3 linked regions of the Nothobranchius furzeri genome follow. The protein of the gene in region 3 purifies or fractionates together with the protein of the main gene of each other region. This does not show direct contact. Links are inferred from orthologs where the notes say so. Each region holds a gene or a part of one and is shown on either strand. Other genes may lie near its edges.

Region 1 (4,143 bases), on a different chromosome or scaffold from region 3:
GATTACCCCTCCTCTTTCTTTGATAAACCTTTGTTGAGAAATCATATTAGAACAAGGCGAGTTTCATAAAAGATAATTAGAACGGAAAAAGTAACACAAACGACAGTCTATGAAAAAAATAAAAACAGCCAGCATAAACAGGAAGTAATGCCATTTTAAATATTACTTTTAATTCTTAAATACAATTATTGACTTATTAGTAATTAGTTTTTTTTATTGTTTCAATGAAATAACGCTTTCTGGAATCAATTATTTCACTTAAAATGTGGAAAATGGAAATGATTTAAGAAAACAGCACTTACTAATTAAAAATTGAGTCAAAAGGATTACATTGTTACCACGGTTTGATTCTTCATGTCCTGTCAGACAACAATCCTTTATCAGATCAAAAGTTGAAAGCTGAATAGATTCTCACACAACAAGAACTTTTGAAAATCTTTCCAAGAAACATTTTTGACATTGCAAAGAAAAAAGGTGTTCTACTATTTTGATATCTGGGTGAACTGATATTTATGTTGACTTGCTTTTGCAGAAAGTCGTTACAAGGGATAACTGCATACATATTTTTAAACTGAATTATTTTATTTCCTGTGAGAAAAAGAGAAAGATATCTGGATCAGATTTTCTCAAAGGAAATGTCATCATAATTTTAGAATGTTTTCTCCTCAGGGTTAATGGACATTGAAGCCAGAGTGGCCTAATTCTTATGAATTTATTGTAACATTTTTTGTATACAAAGTCATTTTGTTTATAAATATAAACATTGGTTTATATTTATATTTGTTATAAATATAAATGAGTTGGTTATTTTGGAGTAACTGCATGTATTTTCACATATTTAATTATTACAATTACAGCTAGATGAATTGCCACACTAGGTTTAGAACATTTTAATGTATATTTTCAATCAATGCTTCTGAATATTTTAATAACAAATAAATAAATGTGGCCTGAAACATGCACAACCTATTTTATCTGTGCTTATGTTTGTCAAATTGGCATAAAATAATTTTATTACAAGCCTTAAAACCTGTGATAGTGTCATTAAAATAAATCTACGATACACAAATGAATCATTAGTACAGCTAGAGCAGAAACTATATTTAAGAATGTAACATTAAATAAACACAATACAAAAGAACATTTTCGATAACTTAAGGTGACGTCACTTTGTAGTCCAACGACGACGACTCTAAACATGGCTAACGATCGTGATGTGTTTTATCCACAGTGCCACCTGCAGCCATCCAGTGGTAACGCACCCATCTTACAAAACATTTGCAGCCATTATAGTCACGTTTACAGCTGCTTATGCAAACGCCGAAGTTCCTGGTGCTGGCCTCTCTTGTAGCGTTCACCAGCGACCAGGTAAGCGGCAGCAATGAAAACTGTTTAGGCAAATCGAGGATTCGTTGTCGAGGCGATTCGTGTCTTTCATACTGTGTTGTACGCTCGATTCAACGAGGAAGACATGAAAAACAAGCCCGCCAACAAGTCGGACGCATGCGAATCAAAAAGTAAGAAGAAACGAGCTGCAAAAGACTCTGATCCAGCTGTTTGTAAAACACCACGAGACAGAAAGGATGGAGAAACATCTGATCCAGGTGTGCAGCTCTGATGATGGGACAGCTTCATTTCATTCACGCTGTCTGTACCTGAAATGTTCTGGCTTTGACAGACGAATGTGATTATATCTCACAGGGCCTCCTTGTAAGTTTTCAAGAGTCCACAGGAGGAACGGGCACCATGCGAGCATCCTGCATTATATTTACAAAAGCACCCTGGGCCAAAGCCTACACTCTCAGATGAGACAAGTAAGACATGAAGCTCAGCTTGCATCAACTCAGTTCAGGTTGTGTTCATTATGCGTGGTAAACCTCCATTTTATATAGTTTTTATGTTATTTTAGAGTGTTAAATCAGTAATTTTGTCCAATAAAACAAATATCTTCATTGAGCAATCATGGAATTTTATTCTCAGAGAGTCGAGCATGAATTGATGTACATGCCCCAAAACCAGGGCACCACCAGGTTTCTCTTTGTTCCTGGGAAGTAAAAAAGTGTATTAAAGCAATAAGAACTATAAGATAATACAATCCAGAGTAAAAATGCTGAGTGCTTCCGGTTCTTCACGCACTCTAAGGTGCATGTGTGACACATCCCCATCCCCGGTGAGGGTCTTGGTTCTTTATCTGCAGAACAGGTTCCTATATTCTGACTGATAATTAATCCAGAAGTGAATCAGAGGAGCACCAGACGTGTTTGAGCATGTATCGGTTTGTCTTGATGGAGAGAGTATGTGGTGAAAAGGTGCTCCTCGTCTCTTGCAGTGTCTCCAGGAGCCCTTCCTTCGCTCCCTGTCCTCCTACCACTTCCACGGCGCCAGCAGTCCGTTCGATCGCAGAATCACCTGTCTGGAGTGGCACCCCACCCATCCCACCACGCTGGCTGCAGCCTCTAAAGGTGGAGACATTTTCTTGTGGGACTTCAACAACCCCACGAGAAAAAGCTTTATTCAAGGGGTGAGTGTGTGCGTCGGATTGGTTTTCACCCCCATTCAGCACTGCAGCAGCTTTGGGGCTTATTAGATTGTTACGGGTGATTTCCAGGTTGTGTATGTCAGACGAGCACGAAGACACTGTTGTTGGTTTTCTGCTCAGATGGGGCCTGGAGACTCAGTTACAGACATGAAGTTTAACCAGTTAAACCCCTCTCAGCTGTTCACCTCATCCATGGGGGGTACGACAGCCCTGCGAGAGTTCAGTGGGACGACACTTACAGTTTTTGCCAGAACAGATGCACTGAAGTAAGACTTTAGAGCTCCTTATGTCTGTAAAGGTCAGAGGTCAGGCCTGTTCAGTCTAGCATCAGTCTTCTCGTCCGGTTGCCTCAGACTGAAGTGGTGGCTTCCACTTTACTGGCTTGGATCTGTGTGTGTGTGGACAGAATGGAGCGGGAGACTCTCTGGGAGGGATGAAGTTCTGTCCCATGGACTCGTCCAAGGTCTACGTGGCTTCTGGAGAGGGAACGCTGACCCTAAAGAGCTTTGAGGGGCACAAACCCACTTTGCTGTCCAGAACTCAGGACTGTGCTCACGAGCACCACAATGTCTGGTGAGAAAACCGCATAGAAGACTGATGCTAGGCAGACTCGTTTCGTCGCTTTTCTTCAAATTGGTAAAGAAGAAAATCGTTCAAAGCTAATCTGATTTAAACATCTTATTATAAAAGACATTTAGTTCACATTTGTTGTTGTAGATGTTTACAGATGTGATTGAGTGATGTTCAGGACTTAATGTCTTTAGCGTCATAGTTGAATATCTAAACGTTTCTTTATTAAAAGGTTATTTTAGAGCTTTTTGAACACATAATGAATGAAGAAAACTTGACTTGTTCATTGTGTTTCACAGCTTTTGGTACTGCTGTGTTGACGTGTCTGTGAGTCGGCAGATGCTCGTTACCGGTGATAACACAGGGCAGCTCTTACTTGTCGGACTGGATGGTCAAAAGGTAATTTATTTATTTAAATGCAATCTCTACCAATTCTTTATAGATTAGAGGTTTAAGATTTTAAATGTCTGGATTTTATTTATTTTGTCATAACTGCCCCGAAAATGTAAGCGTGGTCTTTAATAATTTTGCTTTAAAAATGAAACGGATCTGCTTGAAAGCAGCAGATAGAGAATCAGCAGATTTGCTAAGGCAGAGGTCATGAACAGTCTTGTTTTAGAGAAGGAAAAAATGCTGGAGCACCATTTCCAGGAACTAGAAGTGAGCCACATCACAGCTGAGTTTCAGACGGCAGGTTTTGAAGTCTTATTTCCTAATATTTGGACATCTCAGCTCTGACTGGCTAACAGTAACATGACAATTGACCCTTTGCACCGATGTCACCTAATCACGTGGGTCCACCATGCTGGACGGCAAAAGCATTTAAACAGTGAGCGACACGATTAGTAAACAAAGGGAAAAGTAGAGCCTGAAATTGTTTTTGCGATCAAAACAAAAACAAAACTCCTCCAGCATTCCTTCAACTAGTTCATGCCCAGTTCAGTTATCAGAAGAAGTAACTCATCTAGCCGGGGCTCACAGAGAGCGGTATGTTAGCTAGCTTACCAGCGTTAGCTTATGTTCTCTCTGTTCAC
Region 2 (3,652 bases), on a different chromosome or scaffold from region 3:
AGAGATGAGTGTGTGTTGATCCCGAAACAAAACCACAGTCACACTCTGCTGAGTATCCTGGGAAAACAAAGATAAGAGATTTTTGTCGTACCAGGGAAAAAAAAGATAATTCAGAAACTCACCACACTCGGAGCCATCCCACGTATGCTGCTCCGTCTCTTCTTCCACTTAGGAGGAGGATGCAACTCTGCTTTGTTGTGAGCGCCGCTGATCTGTTTGACCTGCTTGTAAAAGCCATCTGAGAACGAGACACAAATCACGAGAAACACACCAAGAACATTAATCACCCAAATGCATTTACTTGCCAACAACTGAAGCATTTGCAGCAGAAGTTCCTAACCTTTTTGGCTGCACCTTATGTCCCAGACCATAATATTTCCATCTCTTCCTCCAGTGCAGAAAACAGCTGTTTGTCAGAAGAAAATGCAACAATTATTGGATGTTGTAGGAACTATCGACGTTTCTTCACAAGATCTTCTGTAACGAATCTGAGGGAATCACCAACTGAAGACACAATTTTACTGAAAGACTTGCGAAGAGGATCCTTCATGTCCTTCACTTTGTGATCTGTCTTCTTTTGTCCAATCAGCTCTAGACACTCTACACTAATGTCTGTCCTTGATGTAGGTAAACTGCTGAGTCTTGACCTGATGAGTTGGCTCTTCTGCAATAGGCCATCCTTTTGTGTAGCTGCGGTTTCGCCGGTGTAGAACATTCATGCTACTCTCCACTTCCTACACGTAGACAATAGCCACAAAGAAAAGAACCAGGACACCTCCGCATTTCCATCTGTAGACGTTATCTTTGTATTTGAAATAAGTGACGAAAAGGCATGGATGTTATCGGTCACCAAGAAGCTACATGAATGGATAATAGAGGAGATTACGCGCTACACGACAGACCTTCAAAGTTAAAGCCTCATTGGTCCTCACACACTGGTGAAATTCATCTCCGCATTTGACCCATCCCATGGGATGTGGTGAGCTGCAGCGGTGGCTGCGCTCAGGAACTATTTGGTGGTTTAACCCCCAATCCAACCCCTTAGCAGGGAGGCGTTTGTATGACCAGACCGGGATTTGAACCGCAATCTCCCAGTTCCAGGGAGGACACTCTTCCACTAGACCACTGAGAACATATCTTTCTGCAAATACTAAAGATGTCGCGCCTGCTCTGCCCTTTCTTACAGCTTTGCTGTTGAGTCTCCAATAGAAATTGCTGTTCAGTAGAACACCAATATCCCTCCATATCTTCTTCCACAATGGAACCAGGGTTTGACATAATACATCCATCATCTTTTGCTTATCCGTGGTCGGGTCATGGGGGCAGCAGCCTGAGCAGAGACGTCCAGACTTCCCTCTCCCCAGCCACTTGGGCCAGCTCCTCCGAGGAATCCCACGACATTCCCTGGCCAGCCGAGAGACACGATAAATGACCCGCACTTGTAGAGCGCCTTTCAGAGTCAGAGGAATTAAAAGTGCTTTACATTACAGTGTAACATTCATCAATTCACACACTGGTGGTGATGAGCTAAAATGTATCTCAACTGGCTTCTCTTGATGTGGAGGAGCAGTGGCTCTACTCCGAGCCCCTCCCGGTAAACCAAGCTTCTCGCCCCATCTCTAAGAGAGCCCAGACACCGTGCAGAGAAAACTCAGTTTGGCCACTTGTATCCACAATCTCGTTCTTTTGGTCACTACCCAAAGCTTGAAGAGCACGTCACCCCTCCATTGGCTACCGTTAGCTGCACACATCAGATTCAAATTGCTAACGGTAGCATACGAAGTCCTGGATGGTACGGCTCCCATCTACTAGAATCCTCTTATAAAGGTGTACGTCGTGGCCCGGCTGCTCTGGTCATCGAATGGTCGTCACGCTCAGGACAATCCAGACTCTTCATGTGTCGTTCCACAGATGTGGAATGCCCTGCCAAGCACTACCAGAACAATCCTTTTGGTTTTAAAGAAATTCCTGAAGATCCAGATTTTCTGAGAACATCTTCCAAACTAGCACCCTCCCAACACCCGTCCTCCACTCTACTGTCCATCCTTATTCACTTCCCTTTGTGATTCATTATGCTGTCTCACTGCCACCTAGGATTGATTGATTAGTATTTATTGTTAGCCTCAAGGGCAACCTGCTGGCTTCATTATCGCTTGTAAGTCACTTTGGACAAAAGGTGTCTGCTAAATACGTAAACATAAACAAGACTGAGCGGTAAACCGGGAGCTTTGCTTTGCGGCTCAGCTCTCTCTTTACCACGACAGACCAGTGCAATGCCCAGTACAGCTGGGATTATTGACATATTCCCAGTTCTTCAAAACAACTTCAACAAATGAGGAGCAGAGTCCCCCTGGGTGCTCCCGACAACTCGTTCAGACAACATTTCGGTCTCACACCAAGGTCTGTAGTCACTGATCCAGGGGTTGTGGAGGTGTCCAACTGTGTCTTCTCAAGTTTCTTTCATATTAAAATCAGCCTGGATTGTGTTCTGGAAAAGTCAAAGAACATAACCCACAGTGCCACTCGCTTTGATCGTTGGAAGTGTGTGATGATGTCTTCAACTACAGCTGCATGATGATAATGATGTATGATGTTACTGCAACAGATGGAGATTTCTTAGGCAGGGCTTCTTCCAGAGCAATGGAACCTTCACCTGGGTCAGGCTAAGGTTGACCAATCCCACATAGGTGCTTCGGCCGTTCCTTGAGGACTTTGGATTTGAAACCATCTGGTTATGCAGCTTTAATCAAGTTTAGTGTCTCCATTTGCCTCTTCATCGAACTGCAGAAGACAGACAGGTGCCAGGAAGGAGGCAAACGGAGCCTTTCCTGATGTGGTTGACAATGATGAGGAAACCGCAGCAGCTGGAAGATAAAACGGTTGAGGTGTGTTGGGAATCTGGACGAAGGGACAGTAGATGCGTTTGGCTGGGGACCAGAGAGGAGAGCGCTGAACTGAAGCTTTTAAAGAACGAGCCAAGTTCATTCAAGCTTCAGCTTGGGAACTCCTCATCAATTCATATCTACACTTTGATTTACTCTTTACTCCACAATGATTCCATGTCTCCCTCCCTTAAGGTTCTTCTTTTAGAGTTCTTTCAGTTCACATTTGACCCAGGGTTTGTTGTTGGGGTGGCACCTCACTGTTCTTGACCTTTGGTTGATTCTTCATCACTACCTTCTCCTCATTCAGCTCCATCAATTCTGCCTTTCCCGGGATCCACTGATCACTTACTTATTCGTTTTCCTTTTCCTCACATTTTTTCATCACAAACTTTGTACTTCTCCTAATTTTATGATTTTTTTAATCTTGTGATTTTTTTTCTTGAGAAGTGCCATATAATCCTCAAAATCTCCCTGTGATCATCTCCTCACAGTTCCTCTGGTCACAGGTTGACTCTAGACAAGGGGTGTTGCACAAAGGGCAGAGAAAGACAAGATAAGGATCCACGATGCCAGGAGCTGGATGCATCCTCGACGTTGGCAAATAGCAAATCCAGCGGGTTTTTTTCCTCTGGTGGAGAAGCGGACATGCTGCTGAAATCTTGGCAGTGCAGCAGAGAGAAGCATGGTGAAAATATCCAGATAATACCACAGATGCTTTTGGGGGTTATGTCTGTAACGTAGCAACAACTGTGCTGATGACATCACAT
Region 3 (3,652 bases):
GGGGCGGAGCGGAGAGTGGAATTTTGGGGTAAGTGAGGTGCGTCACCGGAGGACAAGGTGATGCGCCTGGCTCCACAGCAGCGAAACGCATCAGGCACACATAAAAGACAGAAAACATAAAAGGAAATGAGCCGACATGGACGATCGTGTGTTAAATTTGTTTGTGAGGTGGTGGTGACACCTAATTTGATAATGTTACTGTGGCGGTGCTCAGGACGCAGATGTCTGGAGCGTGTCAACAATCAGAGCTTTGCATGCGCAAGCTGGTTAAGATTAGGATGGGGGTGAGGGGAAGGTTAAATTGCAAGAGGGTAAACGTCACAATTTGGTTAAATGTCCGTTTTACGGAGGGTGTCAGTGCCGACGCTCTGGCACAGCGCGTCCCCCCCGCCTCCCGACGCGCAGGAGCTTGTCACCTGCTGTCTTTTCCCAGGACTGCATCTTATTATCACGTGACAGCGACTAGTCGATGACAGGCATAAAAAGTCCCTACAGAGCAGTGAAGTCGACTAGACGACTAGTTCATACAACCCCTAGTTTCCACTGAACTTGTTGATCAAGTCCGACTCTGATTTGTTGGGAAGTAAAAATATTAAGACATTTTTTCTACTGGAATCACAAATAAGATGTCTGGGACAAAATCTGGGGAGATCACAAAGTTGGGATCCCCTCCAGAACTCAAGTCAGTCATGCAGCCATTGTTCACATTTTCTAGTCACAACTTATCGCAGAGCATATTAATTATGTCCCTATTTGTTCACAATTCAATCTAATTTTATTTGGAATCGCTCTATCTCCTATTTGTCACACTTTCAGACTAGCGTAAAGTTTTCCGAGATGTTCAAAATGCCAGCGACCTTAGAGTGATGCCTTGCTACTCACATGAGGAAATGGAGAACATTTACAAATGCTTTGAGGAATTTTTGGACTTTCCCTTATGAATGACTGGCTGTTTTAACTCTGAACAACCATCTATGCAATATTTTGCTTCCTGCTGATGTTCTGACAGTTTTCTAGATTTTCTAAGCACTTTGTGACCTCTGTGATGGTACAAGTACAACCAAGTGAAGCCTCCTTACGTTACTCAGACAAACAGTATTTTTTCAAACAGAGATGCCGTCCAATCAGAGTTGGGGTAATCAGCATGGGTCAAAAGAATTAAATGTCTTTTTTAAAACACCAGACTACAGACAGCAATTACAATCAGAGAGCAACAAATCACCGCTCCAGCTCGAAAACAAAGATCCAGAGATTGTTACGGCGCCATCTCTTCCTACCGTCTGCTGTGGTTGCTTTCTGGTGAGGCATCAGCATGGCAGCAAACTCCTGGAGCTGATTTCCTCTGATGATGCGGTCCAGGTACATCTTCTCCAGAATACCATAAGCAGCCAGCTGCTGACAGCGCTCATCCTTGAAGAGAGTAGCCAGCATACGAGACCTCTGTTGTCCTAAAGCACACGACATTGTGAGGAAGGAGAAGCGAAGAGCGGCTGATTAAGTTTCTCCTCCACTCATCAGGAGTATTTCTGAACACGAATAAAACCTGCAGACAGCTCGTACCTGCAGAGGCTAGTATGGTGCAGTTCAGGGCATGTTTCAGTGCCTCCAGACGTTCACTTTCATGAACAATAGACTTGTAGGACAATTCGTTGTATCGCTGAGCAGCTTCAATGAACTTCCTCCTGAAATCTAGCACTCGTGCATAACACACCTAAAAACACAAGCAGGCATGACTGCAGATGTTTAAACTTCAGGATAATCAGCTGATTCACGTGGTCGATGTCATCTCTGACTCCCACATTGGAGTATTTTAAAAAAAATCTATTTACAATCTCTGGTTACTCAATCTTCTCAGTGGCCTAGTGGCAGAGTGTCCGCACTGGGACTGGGAGATCGGGGTTTAAATCCCGGTCGGGATTTAAAAATAGGACCCAATGCCTCCCTACTTGACACTCCACTTTACGGGGTTGGATTGGGGGGTTAAACCACCAAATAGTTCCCGAGCGCAGCCACAGCTGCAGCTCACCGCTCCCCACGAGGATGGGTCAAATGCGGAGATGAATTTCACCAGTGTGTGATGAATAAATGGAACTTTAACTTTAATGAAGTGTAACCTGTTCAAGTGGTTGTTAACACGAATATCAGCCAACCACACGGCTGCAACTCAGTGGTTTTACACGTTTGTTGACGATGACTTGCTGAAGTTCAAAGGGAAACCTCGAATGAGGAAAAGAGACAGAAGTGACGTTAAACGTGGCATGATGTTGGTACCAGACAGGCTTATCTACCCACAATCTACTGGTTTACAGAAAATGTTCGACATGAGAGAAAATATCCAGTGAGGTGTGTTGTAAAGCAATTCCCCACCAGGACAACAGAGAGCGTAGAGCTTTTCTGGGGTATCGTGCCACCATTAGTCATATATCTAGTCCACGGTAGTGTATTTACTATTGTATACAGGTCCTTCTCAAAAAAATTTGCATATTGTAATAAAGTTCATTGTCTGTAAAGTACCGATAAACATTACACTTTCATATACACTGCTCACAAAAATTAAAGAAACACTTTAAAGAAACACATTAGAAACATCAGATCTCAATATGAAGTTGGATATCTATACAAATAACGACAGGGCAATGTCTTAGGAACAAAAGGATGCCAAGTCTTTTAATGGAAATAAAAGTTAGCCTACAGAGGGCTCAACTGTGTAGACACCCTAAAATCGGAGTGAAATGAAGATGTGGCAGGCTGGTCCATTATTTCAAAAACTTCATTTCTGCAACTCAAAATGCTTTTCAGTATCTTGTGTGGCCCCCACGAGCTTGTGTGCATGCTTGACGACGTCGGGGCATGCTCCTAATGAGACAACGGATGGAGTCTTGTGGCATTTCCTCCCAGATCTGTGTGAGGGCGTCCCTGAGCTCTTGTACAGTCTGAGGAGCAACCTGGCAGTGCCTAATGGACCGAAACATAATGTCCCACAGATGTTCGATTGGGTTTAAGTCAGGGGATCGTGACGGCCACTCAGTTGTTTCAATTCCTTCATCCTGCAGGTACTGCCTGCATACTCTTGCCACATGAGGCCGGGTATTGTCGTGCATTTGGAGAAAGCCAGGACCTACTGCATCAACGTAGGGTCTGACAAAAGGTTCAAGGATTTCATCTCAATACCTTATGGCAGTCAGAGCACCATAGAGATCTGTGCGTCCCTCCATGGATATGCCTCCCCAGACCATCGCTGATCCACCACCAAACCTGTCATGTTGAACGACGTTGCAGGCAGCATAACGTTCTCCTTGTCTTCTCCAGACTCTTCCACGTCTATCACAGGTGCTCAGGGTGAACCTGCTCTCGTCTGTAAAAAGTACAGGGCGCCAGTGGCAGACTTGCTAATTCTGGTGTTCTTGAACAAATGCCAGTCGAGCTCTACGGTGCTGGGCAATAAGCACAGGGCCCACTACAGAACGTCGGGCCCTCAGGCCATCTTCATGAAGTCTGCTCCTGATTGTTTGGGTAGAGACATTCACACCAGTGGCCCTTTGGAGGTCATTCTGTAGGGCACGAGCAGTGCTCAGTAGAGGTGTGAATCTTCACTTGTCTCCTGATTCGATTACGATTATTGGGTCAACGATTCAATTCGATTCGATATCCC

The links.
Region 1: the proteins of cops4 (region 3) and ddb2 purify together in Homo sapiens (affinity purification with mass spectrometry; 7 studies listed by BioGRID and IntAct, counting the BioPlex papers as one, with this or other methods). This does not show direct contact. The link is inferred for Nothobranchius furzeri from reciprocal best matches to the Homo sapiens genes COPS4 and DDB2.
Region 2: the proteins of cops4 (region 3) and dtl purify together in Homo sapiens (affinity purification with mass spectrometry; 3 studies listed by BioGRID). This does not show direct contact. The link is inferred for Nothobranchius furzeri from reciprocal best matches to the Homo sapiens genes COPS4 and DTL.

What each region holds. Positions count from the first base shown.
Region 1 is NC_091744.1:65,534,051-65,538,193, reverse strand, and holds the start of ddb2 (DNA damage-binding protein 2), read left to right. Parts: upstream 1-1,235; 5' UTR 1,236-1,368; exon of another isoform or gene 1,369-1,469; 5' UTR 1,470-1,471; coding exon 1,472-1,604; intron 1,605-1,701; coding exon 1,702-1,814; intron 1,815-2,329; coding exon 2,330-2,521; intron 2,522-2,608; coding exon 2,609-2,805; intron 2,806-2,945; coding exon of another isoform or gene 2,946-3,112; intron 3,113-3,408; coding exon 3,409-3,508; intron 3,509-4,143.
Region 2 is NC_091742.1:7,894,521-7,898,172, reverse strand, and holds part of dtl (denticleless protein homolog), read right to left. Parts: intron 407-3,652; coding exon 341-406; intron 239-340; coding exon 123-238; intron 58-122; coding exon 1-57. UniProt on the Homo sapiens protein: Substrate-specific adapter of a DCX (DDB1-CUL4-X-box) E3 ubiquitin-protein ligase complex required for cell cycle control, DNA damage response and translesion DNA synthesis.
Region 3 is NC_091746.1:62,999,911-63,003,562, reverse strand, and holds part of cops4 (COP9 signalosome complex subunit 4), read right to left. Parts: intron 1,712-3,652; coding exon 1,561-1,711; intron 1,449-1,560; coding exon 1,278-1,448; intron 67-1,277; coding exon 1-66. UniProt on the Homo sapiens protein: Component of the COP9 signalosome complex (CSN), a complex involved in various cellular and developmental processes.